Drosophila melanogaster: one gene and its partner. The protein of the gene in region 1 interacts with the protein of each later gene in a pairwise test. Each region holds a gene or a part of one and is shown on either strand. Other genes may lie near its edges.

What was found.
Region 2: the proteins of CG13114 (region 1) and CG5225 interact in a two-hybrid assay, tested with the Drosophila melanogaster proteins (one large-scale study listed by BioGRID).

The regions. Positions count from the first base shown.
Region 1 is NT_033779.5:9,543,397-9,548,441, reverse strand, and holds CG13114 (uncharacterized protein), read right to left. Parts: upstream 2,632-5,045; 5' UTR 2,510-2,631; intron 2,426-2,509; coding exon 1,145-2,425; 3' UTR 1,018-1,144; downstream 1-1,017. Other genes in the region: CG13113 (uncharacterized protein), read right to left, coding at 3,650-4,267; Cpr30B (cuticular protein 30B), read right to left, coding at 4,964-5,045.
Region 2 is NT_033777.3:17,026,803-17,031,748, reverse strand, and holds CG5225 (uncharacterized protein), read right to left. Parts: upstream 3,057-4,946; 5' UTR 3,044-3,056; coding exon 3,013-3,043; intron 2,951-3,012; coding exon 2,318-2,950; intron 2,206-2,317; coding exon 1,085-2,205; 3' UTR 1,048-1,084; downstream 1-1,047. Other genes in the region: Pxd (peroxidase), read right to left, coding at 3,848-3,953, 4,012-4,117, 4,181-4,550, 4,612-4,768, 4,831-4,946.

The DNA of each region.
Region 1 (5,045 bases):
TTTAAATTCATAGCTGGGACGACGTCATTATTTCAAAGTGTTGCAATTTATCGTTTTTAGTTTCACTTCATTTACAATGTACGAATATGTTCTAAATATTATGATTTCACTTTTTTATTTGTTATTTTATATGCAAACATTATTGAAAATAAATAAAACCGCACATTCGCATCTTTGCAAGTGTACTATGCAAATTGTTCTTATTACTTCGTTTGTTGAATATTTATATCCTATCAAGTGCAATTATAGTGAGCTACTTATATAACTTTCTGATTTCCATGGCTATTTTTGTGTGTGCCTATAGAAATTTTCTCAATCCGACATCCTTTCTAGATCGTGTCATACAGAAAATTGAAATGAATAAGCTCCACAAATGTAAAACCTTAGAAAATGAAAGACTTGAGCTGGTGCGTAAAATTTGTGAAAATACAAATTGGAAATACCAAAAACAATTTGGATTCGCCTTGATCAACGGTTAAATAAGCGCTGTTTGAAAACATTCATATTGCATAAATCATATATATTTGCATACGAAAATTTATGAATCTAATTTGTGTATATATCTATGCTTATCAAAATTGGCAAGCATAAACCAGAATTAAGCTGGCGAAATGCGTAAGATGAAATCTTATTCAATGTTATCGACAACAAGAAAGTATATAAAAAAATGAATGCAAATGAAGAAAACTTTTTAAATACAAATAATAAAATGCGTCAAGCCGAATTATAAATGATCGTTTTTGAAAAGTAGCAAACTCGCTACTTTATACTATGTATAAAGTATATATATTCTTGATCAATAGGATCAATAGCCAAGTCGATCTGGTTATGTCCGTATGAAAGTCGAGATTTCAGGAACTATAAAAGCTTTTTTTCATAATTTTATTAGTCTTGTAAATTTTTATCTCTTGTTTCATTAATTCTTTTAACAAAATCGAAGGGGGGAAATTGCTACTTTATAGCCCAAAAGTATGCAATAGTTATTTCAACTATAATACTAAGACCATAATATTCTTTAGTTTTTTGTTAATAATTTATTTAATCATCATGTAGTCAACAGGAAACGGGGAGTACATCAATAAATAATGGGATACCTAGAAAACATTCTAGCCTAGACTAATCCTAAAAAACAACGTATGGAACTTTAGTAGTCCGCATATCCCCTTCCTTGGTTGCCATATCCGAAGTCCTTCAGATAATTATCGATGGCCAGATCGAACGTGGACGATGGCTTATCGGGTCCAGAATCGGGACCACCATATGGCTTGATCTCCGGTTGGGGTACGGGATAGGCTTCCGTACGCGGTTGATAGGACTCAGTTTGGCTGGGATATGACTCTGTGATGCTGGGGTAGGAGTCCTTTTGGCTGGGATAGGATTCCGTGGGACTTGGATATATGGGTGTGTGGCTGGGATACGACTCCGTTTGGCTCTGCACAACGGGATAGACTTCCGTCTGGGGCGCCGAGTATTCCTTGGGTGCTTCAACAATAGGATACGATGTGGATCTCTCATAAATGGGAGACGGTGTGGCCACCACAATCTTCTCCTCGTAGGGAGTCTTTATCTTGGCCACCGACACGCCCGATGATGATGATGAAACCGCTGAGGCGGCATACTTAATGCTGGAGGAGATTTTGGGTGCCGGCGCCACTTTGCTCACGAGTGGAACCACTTGCTTTTTGTAGCTTGGAACCGGGGAATAGAAAACGGAGGGAGCTGGCTGAAGCTGAATACGTGGCGGAGTTGGCACACTAGCTGGGTAGCCCTTCTTGGTGCCATACGCAGTGCTAAGCAATTGGGCCAACTCCTCCAGCGTGTAATTAGGAGCAGCTATGCTGGCCACCGCTGGTGAGGAAGCCACCGAGGGAATGGAAGCCGGTGAAGCAGCTGATGCCGCCTGTTCGTAGACCAATGGATATGGCTTATAGGCCTTGGGTCCGCCCACTGGTCCTACCAATCCCCCATAGGATTCGCCTCCGTACTTGGGAAAGTATTTGCGCTGATGGACATGCGTGTACTCCACCTGGCCACCTGGGGCATACTCCCCAATGGATGAGATCTGGGTGAGCGGCTGCTTGGGCTCAGAAGAGATCACCTTGCGGCAGAACTCCTTGCAGCCCAGCTTGCATTCGCAGTAGCACTTCTTGTACTCCGATGGCTGTGTAGTGTAATCCGTGGGCGTGGGTGGGGCACTGGTTGTTGTTGGGTAAATAGGTCCCGGGCTGGTGGCGCTGGTTGTGGGCGGGCTCAACGTAGAGCCTCCGGTTGTTGTTGGCGCTACCGTTGTGGGCACCTCGCTGCACGGCACCTGTTCCCACACCTCCTGTTCACATTCCGCACAATATTCCGGGAAATGGGCTTGGGTCAATAGTGCCGATGCCATCAGCATGGTCATAAATAATAAATTGCAGCGTTCGAACATCTGAAGGGGGGAGAATATTGAATTTAGAATGGGTCAGAGAATTGCGCCGGAATCGTTCCCAATCGATTGACCCCGTTACCCTACCTTTCAACTGAATTTCTCCCTCGCTCGCTCGATCACTTTCCCCACAATTGCTGGAATTTCTGTCCCGGATCGCCGATGGATGGCACTTGTTGGCTGTTGGTCGGTCGCGTGCGAAACTCTTTCATGCATTTTGCTGAATAGCTCTTAAATACGCTGCGCTGGCCGAGAGCTTCTTCTTCTCGTTCTTACAACGCCGAGCAAATGGGTCGCGGAAGCGTTGACCGCATCACGTTCCAAACGCCCCAAACGGCTCGGAATGGGGCGTGGTTGTCCGGAATGGGTCCGGAATGGGTAAAGACAATCGCCAGATGCCGCCGCTTCCGTAATACACATTCAAGCATTTCTGCCCGCACTCGTCGATAGCTTGGAGTGCTCGCGACAAGAGTTGTTTAATCAAAAACATATAGCAAACATATTTATGTATGACCTTTGGCATGACAATAACCTTTAAGAGAAAGACGAACTTCATAATGCATTTTTTTTAGGCAGTTTCTCATTAGCCAGAATAAACAATCCTCCTGAAATCTTTAATTTTATAAATAGCCAAAACCATTCCGACCGCAATGATCATTTTTTCGGTTCTGCACAAAATTTCCAGCTGCTTGGGGGATTTATAATTTCTGGGTCTCGGCCTAGATCTGATATTAACGTCTGGGGTCGATTGACTTATCAATTTTTGGTTGTAATTCTTTGTGGAACTCAAGGTCTACACGTACACTATGGATAATGGTATTTTTGTAAGCGATATTGCTCAATACCTAAATTATCTTCCTACAAATTGAGTACAAAAGCTTTACTGATTTAAATAATAGTATCTTGACCATTTAACATTTTGTCTAGCTCATTATTTAAACAACATTTTGGGAAAACTCTGCTTAAAATTGGGGGCACTCTTAATCTTTTTTGTTTTAACAAAAATAAGCAACATCACTATTTTCATTATTGCGAGTAAAAGTCATAACAATTTTAGCCTTACAAAGAAAAATAGCAAAAAACTCCGATTTATTTAAAGTAGTCCTTTAAAAAAGTACTTTATTTTTTTTACTTTTATACTTTTAGTATTTATTCATTGTCCGAATCACCAGAGATCACTTAAAATCAAAGCCATTTGCACATTTGGATGAGGTGACTTATTTATGATTAATTTAGATTTGCTACACGACTTTGGAAGGGTAAGCCGGGGTAAACCTGAATATCAGGGAAGAAACTTTGATCATCCCGCACATCAGTTTCCATGGTTTCCTTGTGGTCACGTCTTTTTTCGATGGAGCTGCGCTTCCTTAGTTTCTCCCAGCGATTTTGTTTTAGTTGTGTCTTCGGTTTAACTGGCACTTGAATTTGAGATGGTTTTTTAGATTGACCCGGATCGGAAGTCTCGCGAACCGTTTCCGTGCGACTTGCCATTTCCACATCAATGGTGTCAGCTTTACTACGACCACTGGTAAGTCGCCTCAGCATCTCCTGATAATGCGGTTGATCCGCAGTTATGTATTCCGGTTCGTCTTCGGGATTGAGAATCTGGTAGTTGGGGGTGCCCAGTTCGAAGGTGGTGAATTCACCATGCTCCACTTTGTTCTTCAGATGCTGCGGCGTATACCCATACTGCTTAAGTGGAGCCATCCACTTGGCATCCGCATCCGCAACTGTATCCTTTGAGCTTCCCCCCAGGCAGAAGCCAAGGGTCAATAGCAATGTGACCAGTAGTTGTCGTGTCTCCGGGCAGCCGACCATTTTCGCACTGATGCTCCATGGATGCATTGGTCAGAGCGTTAGCCAAATCCAATAGAATCGCCATCGACGACGTCGACTGCGCCGGTAATTGGACGCCCCCAAAGTGGCAGCAGCTACGTGAGATTAGAGGCATCTATGGGCCATGTCGCGTCTGGCGGCGATAGCATTAGTTTATGCTTATCACAGTATCGAAGCCACCTGTATCGTGACGCATCATTTTATGAGACATCAATTCGCAAATATAATGATACGAATTCACTGAAGAAGCCAAACACACAAGCGAGTTGAACTAAGTCAAGCATTTCATTCACCACTTTTTTTTTTTGGTTTTAATAATCTTTCACTTTTTTGTGTCACACTTGTGAACTGTCATAATGTGGTTTTTCTTCACTTGGCTTATATTTTTCTTAACTGATCTTCACACTTATATAAGTATGTTTGCAACACAACCACTACTCAACTACTCATTTTTTTTTTTATATCAATAAAATACCCTCACCCAGCTTTTAAGTATATTCCCTATATTAAAAAATCCAAGTTTTTGTGTTCCTCTGCGAACAGATTGAATGGGATGCATCTTTATTGTAGGTTAATGTAAGCTGTCTGTATGTACACTCAATTGTCTTAATTGTAACTAAATTATGATGTATGGCAGTGAGTTTTCCCGGGTCAAGACGGGTTTCCTAATGGGTTTATGCAGCTGAAGTCAGTCATTAGATCCTTTTAGTACTTGTACTGTGCTGTTGGTCCGGATACAGAGACATAGTTCCCGGCGGACAGCTCCTGCTTGATAATGGCCTTGGGG
Region 2 (4,946 bases), on another chromosome or scaffold:
CAGTTGGTCTAGACTTTAATGGGTTAATGCGAAACACGTAAAATGTAAATCGCAAATCTCAGATCTCATCAGCCTAATGATTTCGCATAAATTTAACCGAAGATTGGTCCAGATACACACGCATGGAATTCGATGAGGCTCAAGAAAAATGATTTATTCCATTTTGTCGATGTGCTAATACTATTATTAAATTGATTACCACAATTAGGGCTTAAATGTTTGGTTATTATTTAAGAATTAAAATGTATATTATGGCACAAGTTTTATTAACTTTCTTTAGTTATTTATTTGGTTCCATGTCGGCATTGATTGTTCCATTTCAGCCCCCATTGTTTTATTTACGGGGCAATAAAATAAGAATACCGCAAAAATGGGACGATCTGACTTATCTTCTTCATTATCGTTATCATACAAATTGCTTTTAAATAGTGAAATTTAATATGACGTTCAAAATTCTTCAAGACTTTAAGGCATTGGATCAACGTGACGCACGCATGCTTTAAAAAGTCGTACAAAACTAATTTATGGACAAAGAAATTTATTAATGAATTTAATCAACCTAATACCTGAAAACATTTGAACTTATTAATTTCATATCTGCCAAAAGTTAAATACATATATTACAAACAATTTTACTTGCCTAGCTGATAAGATTCAACAATTTACCATTGTATTTTGATAAATGATTTGAGTTGGCAATTTCATTCGATTGTCATTGAATTAATAGCTTATTTCAATATGATTTCACTTTTTTCATATCTTTGTCCATTGTTATTTTATAGAAAATCTAACAAAGCCGCAGACATTTCCAAGAACAACGGAACTATTTTGACAGCTAACAATAACGCAGTTTATTGTTTATACATTTAAATTTTTTGCTATACGAATTCTGCGAGATGATCTTATTAATACGGAAATCTACAGAGGTTCACTGCTTTTGTTTATTATTAAACATTTAAATTTTATTAACTGTATCAAAATCTCTAAATGAAACCCAAAAAGTAGTATTTTTAAATTGTTAGAAAACCCATAAAAGACTCATATTTTAATGTTATTTTTTTATTTTCTCGTGGTGTTGGCTTATTTATATATTATACTGTTCATAGGCGTAAATGTGAAAGGGATTTCGAGGAGTTCCAATTGACAGGATAATCGGACCTTTGTTGGTTCGCTCCTCAATTGCATCTCCATCCATAGGTGCGTTATCCTCCATCATATTCACTGGGTCCATCTGGTCCTCCATCATATGGTCCTCTTCCATCGCATCATCTCCTTCTGGTACCATATAGCTTGAATCCTCATCATCGATTTCTTCAGCGCCACTCGGAGATTCGGGATTCTCCACTGTGTTATCTGCATATTCAAGGCCGTAGTCCGCATCCTCGGGTTCCGTCTCCAAGTCATTGGGCTCATTGGACATTTCCTCCTCGCCCTCCATGAAATTATTTTCGTTATCATTTTCATCAATTATGTTTTCGACAATCTCCACATTTTCATCTAGCAAGTCCAGATCATCCCGTGGAGTTTGCTCGCCACTACCCTCTGGCTTAGTGGGTTTTGGTTGATGATGATGGGGGTGCTGGTGGTGTGAAGTTTGGCTGTGTCCTCCATTTCCGTGTGTACCAGTGTGGGGGTGTGTATTATGTGGGTCCTGCCCTCCGTGATTGTGTGAGGGATGATGGTGGCCATGTCCTCCGTGATTGTGAGGGGGATGATTATGGTTGTGCTCTCCATTGTGAGGTGGATGATGGTTGTTGTGTCCCCCGTGATTGTGCCCTCCGTGATTGTGGGGTGGATAATGGTGATAACCCTTGTCTCCGCCATCATGTGGATGGTGAGGTGGATATGGTGGCGGATAGGGGCCTGGATAATTGTGGCCTGGATGGTGATGGCCTCCATGGCCACCGTGGGGTGGATACGGATAGTAGCCTCCCTTATCGTGTCCTGGTGGATAATAGTGATGGTGGTGTCCGCCCTTGTCTCCCTTATGACCTCCTTTGTGACCTTTATCCCCCTTATGTCCCTTTGAGGGCCAGGGCACTGGCACTGGCAGAGGAATCCATGGTCCCGGATAAGGACCAGGTGGTGGATACGGGTACGGTGGGTATGGGTACGATGGTGGTGGAGGTGGCGGTGGTGGTGGTGGTGGTGGGGGTTGTGGATACGTAGTGCCTGGAGGTCCTGGAGGACCCGGTGGTCCCGTTCCTGCAAGAGATTAAATACTCAGTAAAATTTTGGAAAATGACTTATAATATATCCTTTCAATATTTTCACTGTTAGAGCGTTGTGATATATATGAGTAACGATTTTCTCTTACCTGGTGGGCCTGGAGGTCCGGGTGGACCTTTGGATCCCTTGTGGTGATGATGGTGACCATGTTCACCTTTCTGCGGTGGCAATGGTATGGGAACTATAATTGGTGGCGTCACGATCGGCGGGTGGGGATGATGTGAATGCGGGTGTGAGTGTGGTGGTGGTGGTGGTGGAGGCGGCGGAGGCGGAGGTGGAGGTGGTGGCGGTGGCGCTGGATGATGATGGTGGTGATCATGATGATCATGGTGACCATGTCCCGACTTGTGACCGGGTGGGCCTGGTAGTCCCGGTGGACCAATAGGTCCCGGTTCACCTGGTTGGCCTGGTAGTCCGTAGTGACCGCGTTCTCCCTTCTCTCCTCGCTCGCCCTTGGACCCAGTGTGTCCCTTGGGACCTTGCGGACCAGGCGTTCCTGGTAAGCCCGGCGGTCCAGGAGGCCCCGGTGGACCTGGCGGGCAATTGCAGTGCTGTGGCGGAGGCGGAGGCGGCGGCGGTGGTGGCGGATAGTAGTGCTGTGGTGGCAGCTTGTAGATCACACTTTGTGCTGGCGCCGGAGCCGGAGCAGCTTGTAGAGATGCTATCAGTCTGCCCGTCTCGGCACTCGGGTTCTTGGAATTCGCTAGGCCAAAGGCCCAGCCTGGAAAGGAAATGAATCCCAATTAGAAATCAGATCCATCCTATTTGAATCATATTCCTTACCTATCCAAAAAATCACTGCGAACAGCCTCATGGCGAAATGGTATCTGCTGCCTTTCTCCGGCGGACGGATCACTTTTATACCGCATTATGAACTCTTAATCTTGTATGCACACTTTGTTTAAATCACTTTCATTAATCTAGATTCACTAGAACCGTTATATCATGTCCATTCAGAAATCTGCTTGCCAAATCTCTCGGAAAATATGCAAACCTGTTCGCGATGATGCTATCATCCTGGGTTCTCTCTAAACTTATATATGTAAATTTATGTCCAATCCAAAAGTGAACCGCCTCTGAAGTATTAATATGTTAACTTCCATTTGAAAACAGAAGACATATGCAAAAAAGAACACATTCTCTGTTGCCGATTGTTTCGCTTTACGATTCGAATGAACCATGACTTAAAAATGGCAGAAAAAAGAGTTTTGTCTCTTAATTGGCCGTTTCTATCAACTTGTTCACACCTCGGTCGCGCGTCTCCATATGATTAACCCCGATGAATCGGAGCTATCCCAAAGTCAACGAAAGTGTAAAGGTTTTCGGACCCGGCATTTCTTTATCCGGGCCTATTGCATAAGAAGGGGTCGGGTCTGGATGGCATTGGGATTTGCCCTTGACTTCTTTTCATTTCCGTGAAATCTTACAAACATTATCAGGTCACTGAAAGTAAAGCTGATTGTTTAAATGGTAAGGGCTTTATTTCTGTACATCAGTTTGGGACATTATCATACAAGGGGGGGGGGGGGGGGAGGGGCTTTGCATTTACGTTTATGTTATTGATTAAGCTAAATGTATTTGTATTCAACTAGTTAAGCATAGATCCCACAGCAGCGGATTACTTCTTTCCGTAGTGAGACGGATCTACAGTGGCATATAGCTTTTGATCAATCCATTTGGTGAGGTCGACTTGTGGAATATTTGAGCACGGTATAATCGGATTCCTGTAATTTCAGAGCTCAGTTACTTTCCAAATAACCAATTTAATCAATTTAAACTTACGAATGGGAAACAGTCCGGAAAGCTTCGGGCTGCATGGATGAAATGTGGTTGCCATTGTCGCACAGCAAACGAGCCATACTGGCCTTCCTCAGCTCCTCCAGTTGATCTACGAAATTAGACATAAATAAATTAATATTTAAAATAGTCAGAGGAGAAATGTTCTTTTTACCAGGAGTAAATCCAGTGAGCTTGTCTCCGTTTTCGAAGAAGAAGCGATCGCCCACTCTGGTTCTGTAGAATTGTTCCGTGAGGATACACAGGAAGGTGGGTCCAGCCAAAGCTCCGGCCACATGCGCCTCCAAGGAGGCGCCCACAGTCAGATCCACGTCTTCGTGGCTCGGGTATAGCGACTTAAGTTTTTCCAGAATTGGTGGACTTATTAGATCACCGTATCCCTCCCACGAGTGGGCACGTCTCAGTCCGCAGAATTCCCGCATGTCATTGTAGGAAGCCAGACCGTGATCGCGATTACGCTGAATGTCCAGGGAACGCAGATCGGAACCGAAGGGCATGTTTCTTCTGAACAGGAAGTGCTTGATCTAAGCCAGGAAAGGTTGAGAGGTTAGAAAGGTGGTCTCATTTTGTTATTTGTGTACCCACCTGTCGGTCAAAATTGATATCAGTTAGCTCTTCGGGCTGCGTGGCGTGTCCTCTGGTCAGGGAATCAAAGTTATCTCCAACCTCAATAATACCGGGACGATTGAACCAGTCGCTGAGGGTCAGAGAGCCGAGAACTTGACGCAGCTCGGACAGTAGACTGCACAAAAATTTTAAAATTAATAAAATGTTCTTAACTCATAATAGTAAATAGGCACTTACTCCAAACGACCTTCAATCTGGGAATGGAAGTATCTGAAAGCGGCCGTCGCGTGCTCATTCAGCACCGATGGATCAATGTTGGGATCGAAATCGTTGATATAGCTTCCGGATGGAGC